Stegostoma tigrinum: one gene and its partner. The main gene of each other region encodes a partner of the protein of the gene in region 2 in a complex. Links are inferred from orthologs where the notes say so. Each region holds a gene or a part of one and is shown on either strand. Other genes may lie near its edges.

Region 1 (7,082 bases), on a different chromosome or scaffold from region 2:
TAGGGGCTGGAGGGGGTTACAGAGATAGGGAGGGGGTTACAGGGATAGGGAGGGGGTGTAGGGGCTGGAGGGGGTTACAGAGATAGGGAGGGGGTGTAGGGGCTGGAGGGGGTTACAGAGACAGGGAGGGGGTGTAGGGGCTGGAGGGGGTTACAGAGATAGGGAGGGGGTGTAGGGGCTGGAGGGGGTTACAGAGATAGGGAGGGGGTGTAGGGGCTGGAGGGGGTGAGGGATGTTCGGGGATCTCCCGGGGTCTGACACCGTAACCAACCTTCCCTGCCATCCCCCCGCCACCCTCACCCTCCCCCACCTCAATGCGCTGATGGGCTGCAGGAGACTCGCTTCAAGAAAAGCGCCATCCCTGCTGCAAACTCAACAACAACCGACTGTATTGGTGTTGCCGCCCACTGGCATGTCTGAACAAGGTGCTTTCCTGCAGCTGTGGCACCACGCAGGGCACTTCCTGGCGACTTTCCGCCGGGGAATTCCTTCATTTGTGGGTGTTTTCAGGAACAGGGAGCGTCCTGTCCCTCAGGGCTAGTGACACCAGGCAGCCATTCCTCCTCTCATCTGAGGGCTGGCTCTGCCGGGACAGCGCCTTGAGGTGCTCGGGACCTTAATCTATAGCAAACACCCGCTCATTCAGCACCTCCCTCCTCCCGCTTCCTCTCCGAGCCCGTTCCCCAAGGACGGGAGGCCATTCAGCCCCCTTCCTCCAGCCTGTTACACAGGGACGGGAGGCCATTCAGCCCCCTTCCTCCAGCCTGTTACACAGGGATGGGAGGCCATTCAGCTCCTTCCTCCAGCCCGTTCCCCAGGAAAAGGAGGCCATTCAGCCCCCTTCTTCCAGCCTGTTACCCAGGAACAGAAGGGCGTTCTGCCCCCCTTGAGTGCTATCCTGTGCTGAATGCAGATGAGACCATTGTATACTTTGACTCTTCCTACCGGCTTTGGCCTAACAATGGTTACGTGCCCCACCCAGGGGCAGACTGCAGCTCATTCTAATGCCCCTGGACTGTGGTCCCTGACCCCACCCCGGGCCCAGGTGCTGGGCATGAGTTCAAATCCCCCTCCCCAATAAGAATTCAATTAAATACAGAATATAAAGCACGTCTAACAGTGAGCACCGTCCGTTCCCGGGGAAAACCCCGAGGGGGTCACTAATTCCTGTTGCGTGAGGAAACTGGCAAATTAAATAAAAACCGAAAGAACTGCAGAAGCTGCAAATCAGGAACAAAACAGAAAGTCGCCGGAGAAGCAGAGACGGTGGGGGAGGGGGTAGGGGCTGGGGGGGGTTACAGAGATAGGGAGGGGGTGTAGGGGCTGGGGGGGGTTACAGAGATAGGGAGGGGGTGTAGGGACTGGAGGAGGTTACAGAGATAGGGAGGGGGTGTAGGGGCTGGAGGGGGTTAGAGAGATAGGGAGGGGGTGTAGGGGCTGGGGGGGGTTACAGAGATAGGGAGGGGGTGTAGGGGCTGGAGGGGGTTACAGAGATAGGGAGGGTGTAGGGGATGGAGGGGGTTACAGAGATAGGGAGGGGGTGTAGGGGCTGGAGGGGGTTACAGAGATAGGGAGGGTGTAGGGGATGGAGGGGGTTACAGAGATAGGGAGGGTGTAGTGGATGGAGGGGGATACAATGAGAGAGTTGCGAGGGAGAGAATGAGATTTGGCAATATTGAGGGGTGCGGGAGGGAGTTACAGTGATAGAGGAGGGTGCGGGAGGGAGTTACGATGATAGAGGACGGTGAGGGAGGGAGTTACGGTGTTAGAGGAGGGTGCGGGAGAGATTTACGATGATAGAGGAGGGTAAGGGAGGGAGTTACAGTGATAGACGAGGGTGAGGGAGGGAGGTACGGTGATAGAGGAGGGTGAGGGAGGGAGTTACGGTGAAGAGGAGGGTGAGGGAGGGAGTTACGGTGAAGAGGAGGGTGAGGGAGGGCGTTACGGTGATAGAGGAGGGTGAGGGAGCGAGTTACGGTGATAGACGAGGGTGATTGAGGGAGTTACAGTGATAGAGGAGGGAGAGGGAGGGAGTTACAGTGATCGAGGAGGGTGCGGGAGGGAGTTATGGTGAAGGCGAGGGTGAGGGAGGGAGTTACGGAGATAATGAAGGGTGAGAGATGGAGTTACGTTGAAGAGGAGGGTGAGGGAGGGAGTTACAGTGATCGAGGAGGGTGCGGGAGGGAGTTACGGTGATCGAGGAGGGTGCGGGAGGGAGTTATGATGATAGAGGAGGGTGCGGGAGGGAGTTACGATGATAGAGGAGGGTGAGGGAGGGAGTTACAGTGATCGAGGAGGGTGAGGGAGGGAGTTATGATGATAGAGGAGGGTGAGGGAGGGAGTTACGGTGATAGAGGAGGGTGAGGGAGGGAGTTACGGTGATAGAGGAGGGTGAGGGAGGGAGTTATGATGATAGAGGAGGGTGAGGGAGGGAGTTACGATGATAGAGGAGAGTTTGGGAGGGAGTTACGATGATAGAGGAGGGTGCGGGGAGGGAGTTACGATGATAGAGGAAGGTGCGGGAGGGAGTTACGATGATAGAGGAGGGTGAGGGAGGGAGTTACGGTGATAGAGGAGTGTGAGGGAGGGAGTTACTGTGATAGACGAGGGTGCGGTAGGGAGTTACGGTGATAGAGGAAGGTGCGGGAGGGAGTTACGATGATAGAGGAGGGTGAGAGAGGGAGTTACGGTGATAGAGGTGGGTGAGGGAGGGAGTTACGGTGATAGAGGTGGGTGAGGGAGGGAGTTACGTAGATAATGAAGGACTTACCGAAGATGGTGGCGAGGAGGAGGGTGGCAGTGCGGAGTGTGTGAATCCGGCTGTTTGCCATCCGGCTGGAGGAACGGACCTGGATCTGGTTGGAGCCTGGCGCGATGCGGGCACTGAGTGGGATCGCCGGGCGCGAGGGGAGCTGCTATCGGTGCAACCCTGGAGCAGGCCGGCTCGATGTGCATGAGGAAGTGGCGTGCCGTTATAACAAGCCTCTGACCAAGCAATCTCTTCTTCCGTCAAAGTGCTCTGTGGTCAGCTCAGAGAGAACCCAATTCATCCCCACACCCAGGCAGCGACGTGGCGGGGGAGGGGGCCATGTCTGCTCCCGCAGGGCGAGGGAGGGCGGGGGGTCAGATCTGCTCCCGCAGGGCGAGGGAGGGCGGGGGGTCAGATCTGCTCCCGCAGGGCGAGGGAGGGCGGGGGGTCAGATCTGCTCCTGCAGGGCGAGGGAGGGCGGGGGGTCATATCTGCTCCTGCAGGGCGAGGGAGGGCGGGGGGTCATATCTGCTCCTGCAGGGCGAGGGAGGGAGGGGGGTCATATCTGCTCCTGCAGGGCGAGGGAGGGCGGGGGTCATATCTGCTCCTGCAGGGCGAGGGAGGGCGGGGGGTCATATCTGCTCCTGCAGGGCGAGGGAGGGCGGGGGGTCATATCTGCTCCTGCAGGGCGAGGGAGGGAGGGGGGTCATATCTGCTCCTGCAGGGCGAGGGAGGGAGGGGGTCATATCTGCACCTGCAGGGCGAGGGAGGGAGGGGGGGTCATATCTGCTCCTGCAGGGCGAGGGAGGGAGGGGGGTCATATCTGCTCCTGCAGGGCGAGGGAGGGAGGGGGGTCATATCTGCTCCTGCAGGGCGAGGGAGGGAGGGGGTCATATCTGCTCCTGCAGGCCAAGGGATGGTTTCAAACTTGCCCCAGAAGAGCAAGACAAGTGTGATATCTGTGTGGGAGAGGGTGCCACACGGACTCAGAGCTAGACGCTGACTAACACAGAGTTAGATACACACACTCACACAGACACACGCTCACACACAGACACACACACACTCACACTCACTCACACATACACTCTCACACACACACACAGACACACGCTCACACACACTCACTCACACACACACTCACACTCACTCACACATACACTCTCACACACACACACACACACACACACACACTCACACACACACTCACTCACACATACACTCTCTCACACACACACGGACACACACACACTCACGCACACACTCTCACACACACTCTCTCACACACTCACACACACTCACACACACACACACACTCACTCACACATACACTCACATACACACACAGACACACACACACTCACGCACACACTCTCACACACACTCTCTCACACACACACACACACACACACACACACACACACTCACACACACACACACACACACACACACACACACACACACACACACACACACACACTCACTCACACATACACTCTCACACACACACACGGACACACACACACTCACGCACACACTCTCACACACACTCTCTCACACACACACACTCACTCACACATACACTCACACACACACACACACTCTCACGCACACACTCTCACACACACTCTCTCACACACACTCACACACACACACTCACACACACACACTCTCCCTCTCACACACACACGCTCACACACACACACACACCCACGTACGCACACACACACACACACACACACTCTGCCTCACACACACACACACACACACACACACTCTGCCTCACACACACACACACGCGTGCGCGCGCACACACACACACTCTGCCTCACACACACACACACACACACACACACACACACACACACACACACACACTCTGCCTCACACACAGACACACACACACACACACACACACACACACACACACACACACACACACACACACACACGTCCCAAGACCCGATTTCGAATCCTGCCCAGGCAGGTGGTGGAATTTGAATTAAATAAATATCTGGAATTAAGAATCTAATGATGAGCATGAATCCAGTGTCGATTGTCAGGAAAAACCCACCTGGTTCACTAATGCCCTGTAGGGAAGGTAACTGCCGTCCTTAATCTGGTCTGGGCCTGCATGTGACTCCAGCCCCACAGCAATGTGGTTCACTCTGAGCTGCCCCCTGGGCAATTAGGGACGGGCAGTAAATGCTGCCCGACCAGCGACGCCCTCATCCTGTGAATGAATAAAGAAAATTAAAGTCTCAGAAACACTGAGACACTGTGACATGGTCACAGCAGGATACCTCGTGACCAAAGGGCAAGAGCCTGAATATTTGTTGTGTTCGGAACTGTCTCTTCAGATAAACCAACCCAAAGGTGTGTGGAGAAGGGATCACTGTGTACTTTCCACATCAGCGGTTCCTAGACGGGGGAAGGGGTGATGTTTCACATCACACGACTCACCTACATTTAACCAGATTCATTGCTCATCTCATAGCGTCAGAGTGTTATGCAGTGCACAGGAACACTCCTCGGTACAACTCGTCCGTGCTGACCAGATATTCCAAATTAATCCGTTCCCATTCCCCAGCATTTGGCCCATATCCCTCTAACCCCTTCCTATCCATGTCCCCATCCAGATGCCTTTTAAATGCTGTAACTGTACCAGCCCCCACCACTTCCTCTGGCAGCTCATTCCATATACGCACCACCCTCTGTGTGAAAAAGTTACCCCTTAGGTCCCTTTTAAATCTTTCCCCTCTCACCTTAAACCTATGCCCCTCTAGTTTTGGACTCCCCCACCCTGGGGGGAAAGACCTTGTCTATTCTCCCTATCCATGCCCCTCATGGTTTTATAAACCTCTATATGGTCACTCCTCAGCCCCCGACGCTCCAGGGAAAATAGCCCCAGCCTATCCAGCCCCTCCCTGTAGCTCAAACCCTCCGACCCTGGCAACATCCCTGTAAATCTTTTCTGAGCCCTTTCAAGTTTCACACCAACCTTCCTGTAGCAGGGAGACCGGGATTGGACACAGTATTCCAAAAGTGGCCCTAACCAATGTCCTGTACAGCCCCAACATGACCGTCCCAACTCCCTATACTCAACACACTGACCAATAAAGGCAAGCGTACCGAACACCTTCCTCACCGCCCTGTCTACCTGCGACTCCACTTTCAAGGAACTATATTCCTGCCCCCCCAAGGTCTCTTTGTTCAGTAACACTCCCCAGGACCTTACCATGAAGTGTATAAGTCCTGCCCTGATAATAAAATGTGAGGCTGGATGAACACAGCAGGCTAAGCAGCATCTCAGGAGCACAAAAGCTGACGTTTCGGGCCTAGACCCTTCATCAGAGACGGGGTTGGGGAGAGGGAACTGGAATAAATAGGGAGAGATGGGGAGGCGGACCGAAGATGGAGAGAAAAGAAGATAGGTGGAGAGGAGAGTATAGGTGGGGAGGTAGGGAGGGGATAGATCAGTCCAGGGAAGACCTGATGTGCCTTTCCAAAATGCAGCGCCTCACATTTATCTCAATTAAACTCCACTGCTCACAGGCCTCCAGTCTGAAACACAACCCTCACCCCGCCTCCCTCTGTCTCCGACCTTCAAGCCCATTCTGTATCCAGTCGGCTAGCTCTCCCTGGATCCCATGTGATCTGGCCTTATTCACCAGATCACCATGTGGGACCTTATCAAACACCTCACTGAAGCACACTTAGCATGACAGGCTTCTCCTAACTGGCTGCGCCACATCCCTGGTTACAGGCAGGAGAGTGGGTGGACTCTCCAGAACACTCTGCAGAGGTAGGGAAACCTTTTGGAAAGCTCTGCTGCCGTGTTTTGGGGAATGTTAGCTGCCAACTGTCTTTGGGAAAAAGAGGCTGTGTGAAGGGCATCAGCGATCCCTCGTGCAACCGATCAGCTGTTGCAATCAGGTTCCTGCTCATTATGGTCAGCAATTTCAAACAAGCTTAGTGTCTCCTGTCACCCAGCCTGTGTTCAGGGATATGTCTGGAATTGTATTACATTAGTGGTGGGGCACAAACTATCATTATCACAGCTGGTTGCCTGTCACCTCACAGTTTGATTGACAGTCTCAAGTGGGTATAACATCTTTGTGATGCTGGCAGGTGCTTTTCAGCTTTAGAATGGAAATGAATAGAGATTTTAGGACTCTCACTCTCTCCGCTCTGCCTCATTCCATCTCTCTGAGTCTCTCTTTCTTTTTCTCTCGTTCTTACTCTTCCTCTCTGTTATCTCTCTCTCATCTCTCGCCGTCTGTTTCTCTCTCTCTCTCTCCCCCACTCTCTGTCTCTCTCTCTCTCTCTGTCT
Region 2 (6,906 bases):
CCCTGACGGTTGATGTGGATTTGTTGGCCCGAAGGGCCTGTTTCCGCACTGTGGGGATTCTAATGATATTGTTAATTGATACACAACTGTCACTGAAACTGAAAGAAAGAATCTGCAAGACAGTTGTATGACCAGCTCTGTTATAAAGCACAGAAATAGGGGCAATGTCAATAAGACACTAACAACTGGATACTCATGAGATGCAAAGAGCAAGATTGATGTGTGGAGTAACGAGAAAGGACATGATTAGGAACTAGGACATCGGTGGGTCAAGTAAAGACTTCGGCAGCATCATATAAAGTAGCCAAGAAGGGCTTTTGCAGGTAGTGTTTTCGGATTAATGCTGTGTTCATGGTGCTGAGAGAACATGACGATTGTGGCAGTAAGGGTGAACAGCCTGAAAACTGGTTGAACTACACATAACAGAAGATGGCAGTTAACGTCGACGCCGCGGCAACCTAGCTGCAAGCATCAATTTCGTTCCCATTTTGGTTCGTTTCTGGTTGCAAAATATTTGCAAAACCCACAGTGAGACAAAAGAAAATTTCAATATTATACAAAGAAATAAAGTGTAATTGCTTTAACACTAGGTACGTCTGCGCTATCAGAATAAGCAGTCTTTTAAAATAGTTCCGTTTAAATGATTGTATTTTTGCATCTGAAGCAACAAGCTCCGATGAAAGGTCGTATGTCTCAAAAGTAACTGTTTAAACATGCTGCTTAGATCTGCTGAACATTTCCAGCATCCGCAACATTTCGTTTTGTTTGTGTTTCGCATATTCTATATACTGAATTTTTCCGCCCTCAACTAAATATGAAGACGCGACAAGAAGTTCACTCATTAAAACAAGTTGAAATGGAAGAAGAGCAACTAGCGATACCGATGCGCCTAAAATTCCCTCGCCCTAGGTTCCCGCAGATTTATATTCCTATTCATAAAGACGCCCATGAAATGAGATTAACGGTTGCGTAAAAAATCAATTTGAAGCAGCGGCCGGAGGAAAACAGATCGGGGGAGCCTAAAAAGTCACAGTTCGACTGTGGAGCGTTCAGCTCGTGTTTGACTGAGGATCCGTAACATATAGAAATATATACAACTGCACAAAGACTGGCTGATTTTTTTTCAGTTTATCTAGTTTTAAATTTTCAACACTTCATAAAATAAAATGAAGACAACAGCAAGATTGTAAATGTATTGTAATGCTAAAGAGGTTGTGAGAAGATAAAAATATACGTATTTAACAAGCGTGACACAATGATAAGATTGTACTGACTCCAAACTGACTCATCTAGTGTCACTTCCAGACTGCGCTCAATCTTCTTAAACTTTATATATGTAGTCAAGTTTTTGTCCTCGTTGAATTGGCAACGTTTCCTGATCACGGGATCAAAAACCGCTCGGCCAGTAAATGAAATTATCCGTCCACTGGTTCACAAATAACTTCAGAATTTATTTGTGATCAAAAAATGCAAGTTAATTTGAACCATGCAAACAATATCCGAGATAAGCATTTGTAAAAAGCCAACTTCCCTATTTCCTACCGTTGCAGAAGTGCCTGGAGCAAAATGGTACTTGCCAAAACACTATGTGCACAATTCTGGACGAATGCATGCTGAAGTGCTCACGAAACGAAATCCAATGTTAAAAACGAGAAAGGAAAGAATATGAACCCTTGTTGAATAGAGGGAAACACGTTTTTATTGTCGAAAAATAATTTGCTTCCTAAGTTAAATTACTAATATACGGTGCGGCGAAAACATACTTCAAGGAAGTCCACATATTAAAATTCACATTTCCCAGTATTCCAAAAAGTCCTTACCTGTGCGGCCTTGTTTCCTTGAATTCACTTGTCACTGTCACAGGCTGAACTGATTATTTTAAAAGTTAATTAATGACGGGTCCGTTTTTGATGCGAATTAAAATACAGAACAACTATGCGTATCTTAACATAAAAAGGGCACTGGAGAAACAGCACCGCACGATCAGCAATACCCCAGACAGTGTGTTTTAAAAGAAAAATAGCCCACACTATTTCAGATCCGCAAACGCATGTTGAAAATTTTAATTGCTTTGGACACTCGATGCTGGTTGAGAGAATGAGCTGTAGGCAGTTACTTCCTCTTTCCATCTCGAGTCCAATCCCCATTCTTACTTCCTCGAGTCACTTCATTCCAAAAAACTTCCTCCTTTCATGGAATCAGCAACTGATAAGACAAATTGTGGCATAAAATTTACAATTACAACGTTTACAATTACTCCGATAGGTTAGTTTCGTTTCTTTCAAAACACATAATTGGAATTTAATCCAAATAGTTACTGAATTAAAAAAACACTATTTTCGCAAATACATTTCATTAACAGGGCATGTTCACGACAGCCTGTGAAGATGTATCCCAAAGAAACAGTGTTATGTTGTAAGAGATTTATGTTTTCGGGCTTCAAGTGTTTTTGATTCTTTAAATTAGCAAACAATTTTTAATTGCTCACTGCGAGAATGATAGCATCCATTAGCAAAATACGATTTTTGCAACAGCGTTAAGACGGCTTTTCAGGATCTAAGTGATACTCATAGAGTCACATTTGTATTGTCTCTGTCAAATTTTGTCGATAGATAATATTTTAAATTGATCTGAACCATTAAAATAATAACAACTATGATTAAGTTGGTGACATCCAGGTTAAATCCCAGTTTGGAATTCGAGCAAACTGTATGTGCCGGCAGTTAGAACCTGTATTGCATTACGAGAGTTGGTGTCTTTCAGATCAAATGTTAACCTGAGGCCCAATCTGTAAAATATCTCAAAACTACACCAAGTCGTGTATCGAGTGCGCACTGTGAATGCGTTGCACATAGCTCTTGAACATATCAATTTAAATAACCTCCTCAACATTAGAAAATGACAAAATGTTCAGTTATGTGCAATGGAGTCAATAACCACTACCGCTTGCCTTTCCGGGTTGATTACCCAAGTACAGGAATCATTGCAGCCATGAAAACCGAACTATTTTGCGCATGCGTTCGAATTTGGGGCGGGATTAAACTCCTGACGACAGAATTCGCTCCGTCCCGGACCTGTACCTACGCAATGATGTTCTGATTAAGAAAGAAGCGCGAGCAGTTTGCTTTCCCATTACCAATCGCAGTCTAATGTTGCCACGTTGTACGGATTGGCAGACCTGTGCATTGATAACTGAAGAATGGGAATTTAAATTAAAAACATGCCAAACTCTATTCTTTTAGACCCTACCAAGCCAAAGACTTTCATCGAGTGCTGTCAAATGCAATCCTCAAAATTTGCAAAATCTGCAGACTCCAGTTCCCAGTAACACTCAATCCTCTCTACTACTATCATAACCTAATCAATTTGGAACTATTTTCTAATCAATCTGTTGGAAATATTAGTGAACATCTCTGGAACATGTGGGACTGCTGGGACAGGTTAGGCTCAAGATCCTGTCATATGGACATGGCCACTCATATTAAGTGAGATGAAAGGGGGTGTCGGAGCTATTACTGCTGCAAGTGGGGAAAGCTGGCACTGTCTCTTGAGTGAGGGGTAGGCTTTCTTCTTCATTCATTCACAGGATGAGGATGTCACTGTCTAGGCAGCATTTATTGCCCATTCCTAATTGCCTAGAGGGCAGTTAAGAGTCAACAACATTGCTGTAGGTCAAGAGTCACATGTAGGATAAGGATGACAGTCTCCTTCCCTAAAGGACATTAGTGGACCAGGTGAATTTTTCCCTGTCAATTGACAATGGATTCACAGTCATCATTAGATTTTTAATTCCAGATATTTATTGAATTCAAATTCCACCTTCTGCAGTGCTGGGATTCGAATCTGAGTCCTCAGAATGTTATCTGGATCTCTGGATTAACAGTCCAGTAATAATACCATTAGGCCATTGCCTACCCAAACAGAGGCATGCAAGTTTAGTGGTGTGAGGAGTGGTGATGTGTGTTAGCAAGTGAGAGAAGATATTATAGGCAATAGTAAGAGTGGTAGAGTGTGAGCCATGGTTGGAAATGTGTGCAGTAACCAAGAGAAGATAATGGCATTTATGTTGGCAGAGTGAAGCAGGCCATTGACCTTCTTCATATGGTACTGAACACTCCTTCAGAAGGCTGGGACCTTATTGACCCTGGTGGCAACGTTGTAGATTGTCAAGGTTTAGGGTAGTGGTTACTTCCACTGGTCCTAGGGAAATTGGACTGCCCTCCTCTGCACTACTCTATTCAACAGATCCTTGGTTTCCTATCCTCAAGGTGAAGAACTCATAGCATATGCATTGACATCCACCTTCAACCTGTCTTCTATTTAATATTGGGTGGGTAAAGTGTCAGGCAGCCTACCAAACTTGAGATGCAGTGGTAGGACTTTAGGTCTATAAGTGCTTTATTTCACTACTGCTGCTGAAAGTGCCACACTAGCTGGGAAATCTTGCAGCTTTTACTGGGCAAACTGATATCAAATAGTAACTTCTTTGAAGGCCAATGGTGCCCGATGGAACTGTCCCTGACAAAAGTCATAACTTGCTTTTATGTCTTTTCTACATAAGCCTCTTGAAGAAACCCACCCCAACCCCCAAAGCATCACTCCCAGCCAAGCCCCACTGACACCCAGGACCTGCCTTGAAATCCTGATGCATTATTGGGAGTACTGAGATTCCAGACAACTATACTGATTGGCAGCCCTCTTAGGTGAAATATTGTTTCTAAATGGGAGTGAAAATCTCATCCTGAGATAGTGCTGCTCATTGCATTAAGTAGATGAGGGCAAGACATTTTGTGTTTAACAGACTTCCGACTGAGTTTTTAGTTAAGGATGGGATTGTTGAAGAAAATATACAGTTTTTTTCATCAACTTGTTCTTTGATGTAGTTGCACATCTCTGGAGCAGATGGGACTCAAAGCCAGGCTTCCTGATACAGAGATTGGAATATTAACACTACACCACAACAGCCCCCCACACACCTCAACATATCTAGCTCTTTAGCACCTAGAGCCTTTTCTAGTAAAGTAAGACTCCATCGTCTTGTGTTATAACTCTAGCTGATGGTCAAACAAGCCAGATCCCAGGATGAAATCAAACCTAATTTGGTGTATGTTTAGTTTTTTGGTTTAGTTAGTTAACTTCATGGTTAGTCTCTGAAACATATTTCCTTTAACAATGGAACAGAAGTTTATCACATAAAAGAAGAAAGCTATCTAAATATGGAAACATTTTATAGTGACAATAAAAGACACAGCAGGACAAAGTTTCACTCTGTTTCCTTACACTATCCATTCCAGAGACACTCAAAGTTGGTGAAATTACATCATGTCTTAACTCTATATTTACTCAAATGATTCCTTGCCCTTTCTGTCATGTGAATTATTGAGATAATTTGGCAAGTCTTTTCCAAGTCCATCACCGTGAAGTTTTTACAAATCTGAAGCCTGACCAACCTATCTGGTTTGAAAGCTTGCACTAACTAAAACATTCCTCTGAGGTGATGTTTTCTTCAAACGACCCTGAGCTTCTGTTAGAAGACAAACAAGTCTTGCATCCAAACTGAACCCTGATTCTCCTAAACTGAATATATTAAAAAAACACTGCTTAACCCTGAAATTTTCTAAACTGAAAACAAAGCTAATAACCTTAAATGTTTCCTGTAGCAGTTGTAAACACAACAATATAAGTATCTTTCTATTGACACCACTGGATCTGCAATCACCTACTTTCTCATAAAATATTGGATTTAGGCCACTCTGACCTTATTTCAAAGGAAAAAAGAGCAAAGAAGCAGCAAACACCCATGTCATTCTTTTTTGAAACTCAAATTCCAAAAATACATACAGACAGGCAGGCAGAGACAGACAGACAAACAGACAGACAGACACACACACTCCAATTATATTTTCCTCACAGGAGTTCTCAGATTGTAATGCAATAATTGTCTTAAAATTAACCCTTTCAAGTTAAAACAAAATGTAATGAAAATGCTCCTGAATGAAGGATTTAAAATATATTGCAATATCTATAACGAATTCTAGAATAGAGTCAGAAGTTTCACAATCTTGATGAACAGTTTGCATTTATAAGGCAATAAAAATATAATGAGCCAAACAGCCCCTTAATCTTGTTGTACAATTCAATAAGATCAGGCATGATGTTCAATATCAAATCTGCTTTCCAGTGTGATTGCATATCCCTAGATTCCCTTAGAATTAAAAACAAACTATTGTTTGCAATATATACAACTGAATATTCCCCTGGGCCAGAGAATTCCAATGTTTCACAGCCTTGGGAATGAATAAATTTATCCTCATTCTAGTCATCAGTAGTTGGCCACTTATTCTAAGTTTATACCCACTTGCCTAGGTTCTCAAGTCCAGGAGAATGATCTTTCAGCATTTACCTAATCAGGCCTGATCAGAATTTCATGTTTCAGTGTGATTGTCTCTCTTTGTTCTAAATCATGTAGCATGTAGGCCTGTTGCGCTCAATATCACTCAGAGAGTAAACTTATTGAACCAACAACCAATCTAGTGGACCATCATTGCACCTACTCTAAGAGAACTACATCCTTCCTTCGGTACAAAAAAATAAAACTGAGGAGAAGCCTTCAGGTGTGGTCTCATCAAGCCTTGCAGAATTGCAACAAGACATCTTTATTCTTTGCTCTAATCCATTTGCAATAAAGTCCAGTATGTCGTCAAAGTTCCTAAATAATCACTTTAGCTGCATGATTCATTTCTGTGTTTCATAAACAAGGACATCCACGTCTATGTGAATGTTTACACCAGGCAATTTCTCAGCATTTAAACAATTTTAATTTTTCAGTTTCCTAAAGAAAATGAATAATGTTACTTTTCCCCAGATATGCTCCATCTGCTACCTTCTTGCCATTCATCTATTTGT

Evidence for each region. Proteins that work in one complex are often made in the same cells at the same time.
Region 1: the proteins of syk (region 2) and tyrobp are in contact, whole or in part, in a crystal structure (PDB 7Q5W), measured with the Homo sapiens proteins. The link is inferred for Stegostoma tigrinum from reciprocal best matches to the Homo sapiens genes SYK and TYROBP. Residues at the interface, in NP_001167638.1 of Homo sapiens: Arg22, Arg42, Asn46, His62, His63, Tyr64, Thr65, Ile76, Ala77, Gly78, Gly79, His92, Asp97, Gly98, Leu99, Arg175, Arg195, Arg197, Lys212, Leu214, His215, Tyr216, Arg217, Ile228, Pro229, Glu230, Gly231, Lys232, His243, Lys247; in NP_003323.1 of Homo sapiens: Pro90, Tyr91, Gln92, Glu93, Leu94, Gln95, Arg98, Ser99, Asp100, Val101, Tyr102, Ser103, Asp104, Leu105, Asn106.

What each region holds. Positions count from the first base shown.
Region 1 is NC_081394.1:791,351-798,432, reverse strand, and holds the start of tyrobp (TYRO protein tyrosine kinase-binding protein), read right to left. Parts: upstream 3,005-7,082; 5' UTR 2,832-3,004; coding exon 2,771-2,831; intron 1-2,770. UniProt on the Homo sapiens protein: Adapter protein which non-covalently associates with activating receptors found on the surface of a variety of immune cells to mediate signaling and cell activation following ligand binding by the receptors.
Region 2 is NC_081356.1:52,826,659-52,833,564, forward strand, and holds the start of syk (tyrosine-protein kinase SYK), read right to left. Parts: upstream 3,009-6,906; 5' UTR 2,944-3,008; intron 2,206-2,943; 5' UTR 1,821-2,205; intron 1-1,820. UniProt on the Homo sapiens protein: Non-receptor tyrosine kinase which mediates signal transduction downstream of a variety of transmembrane receptors including classical immunoreceptors like the B-cell receptor (BCR).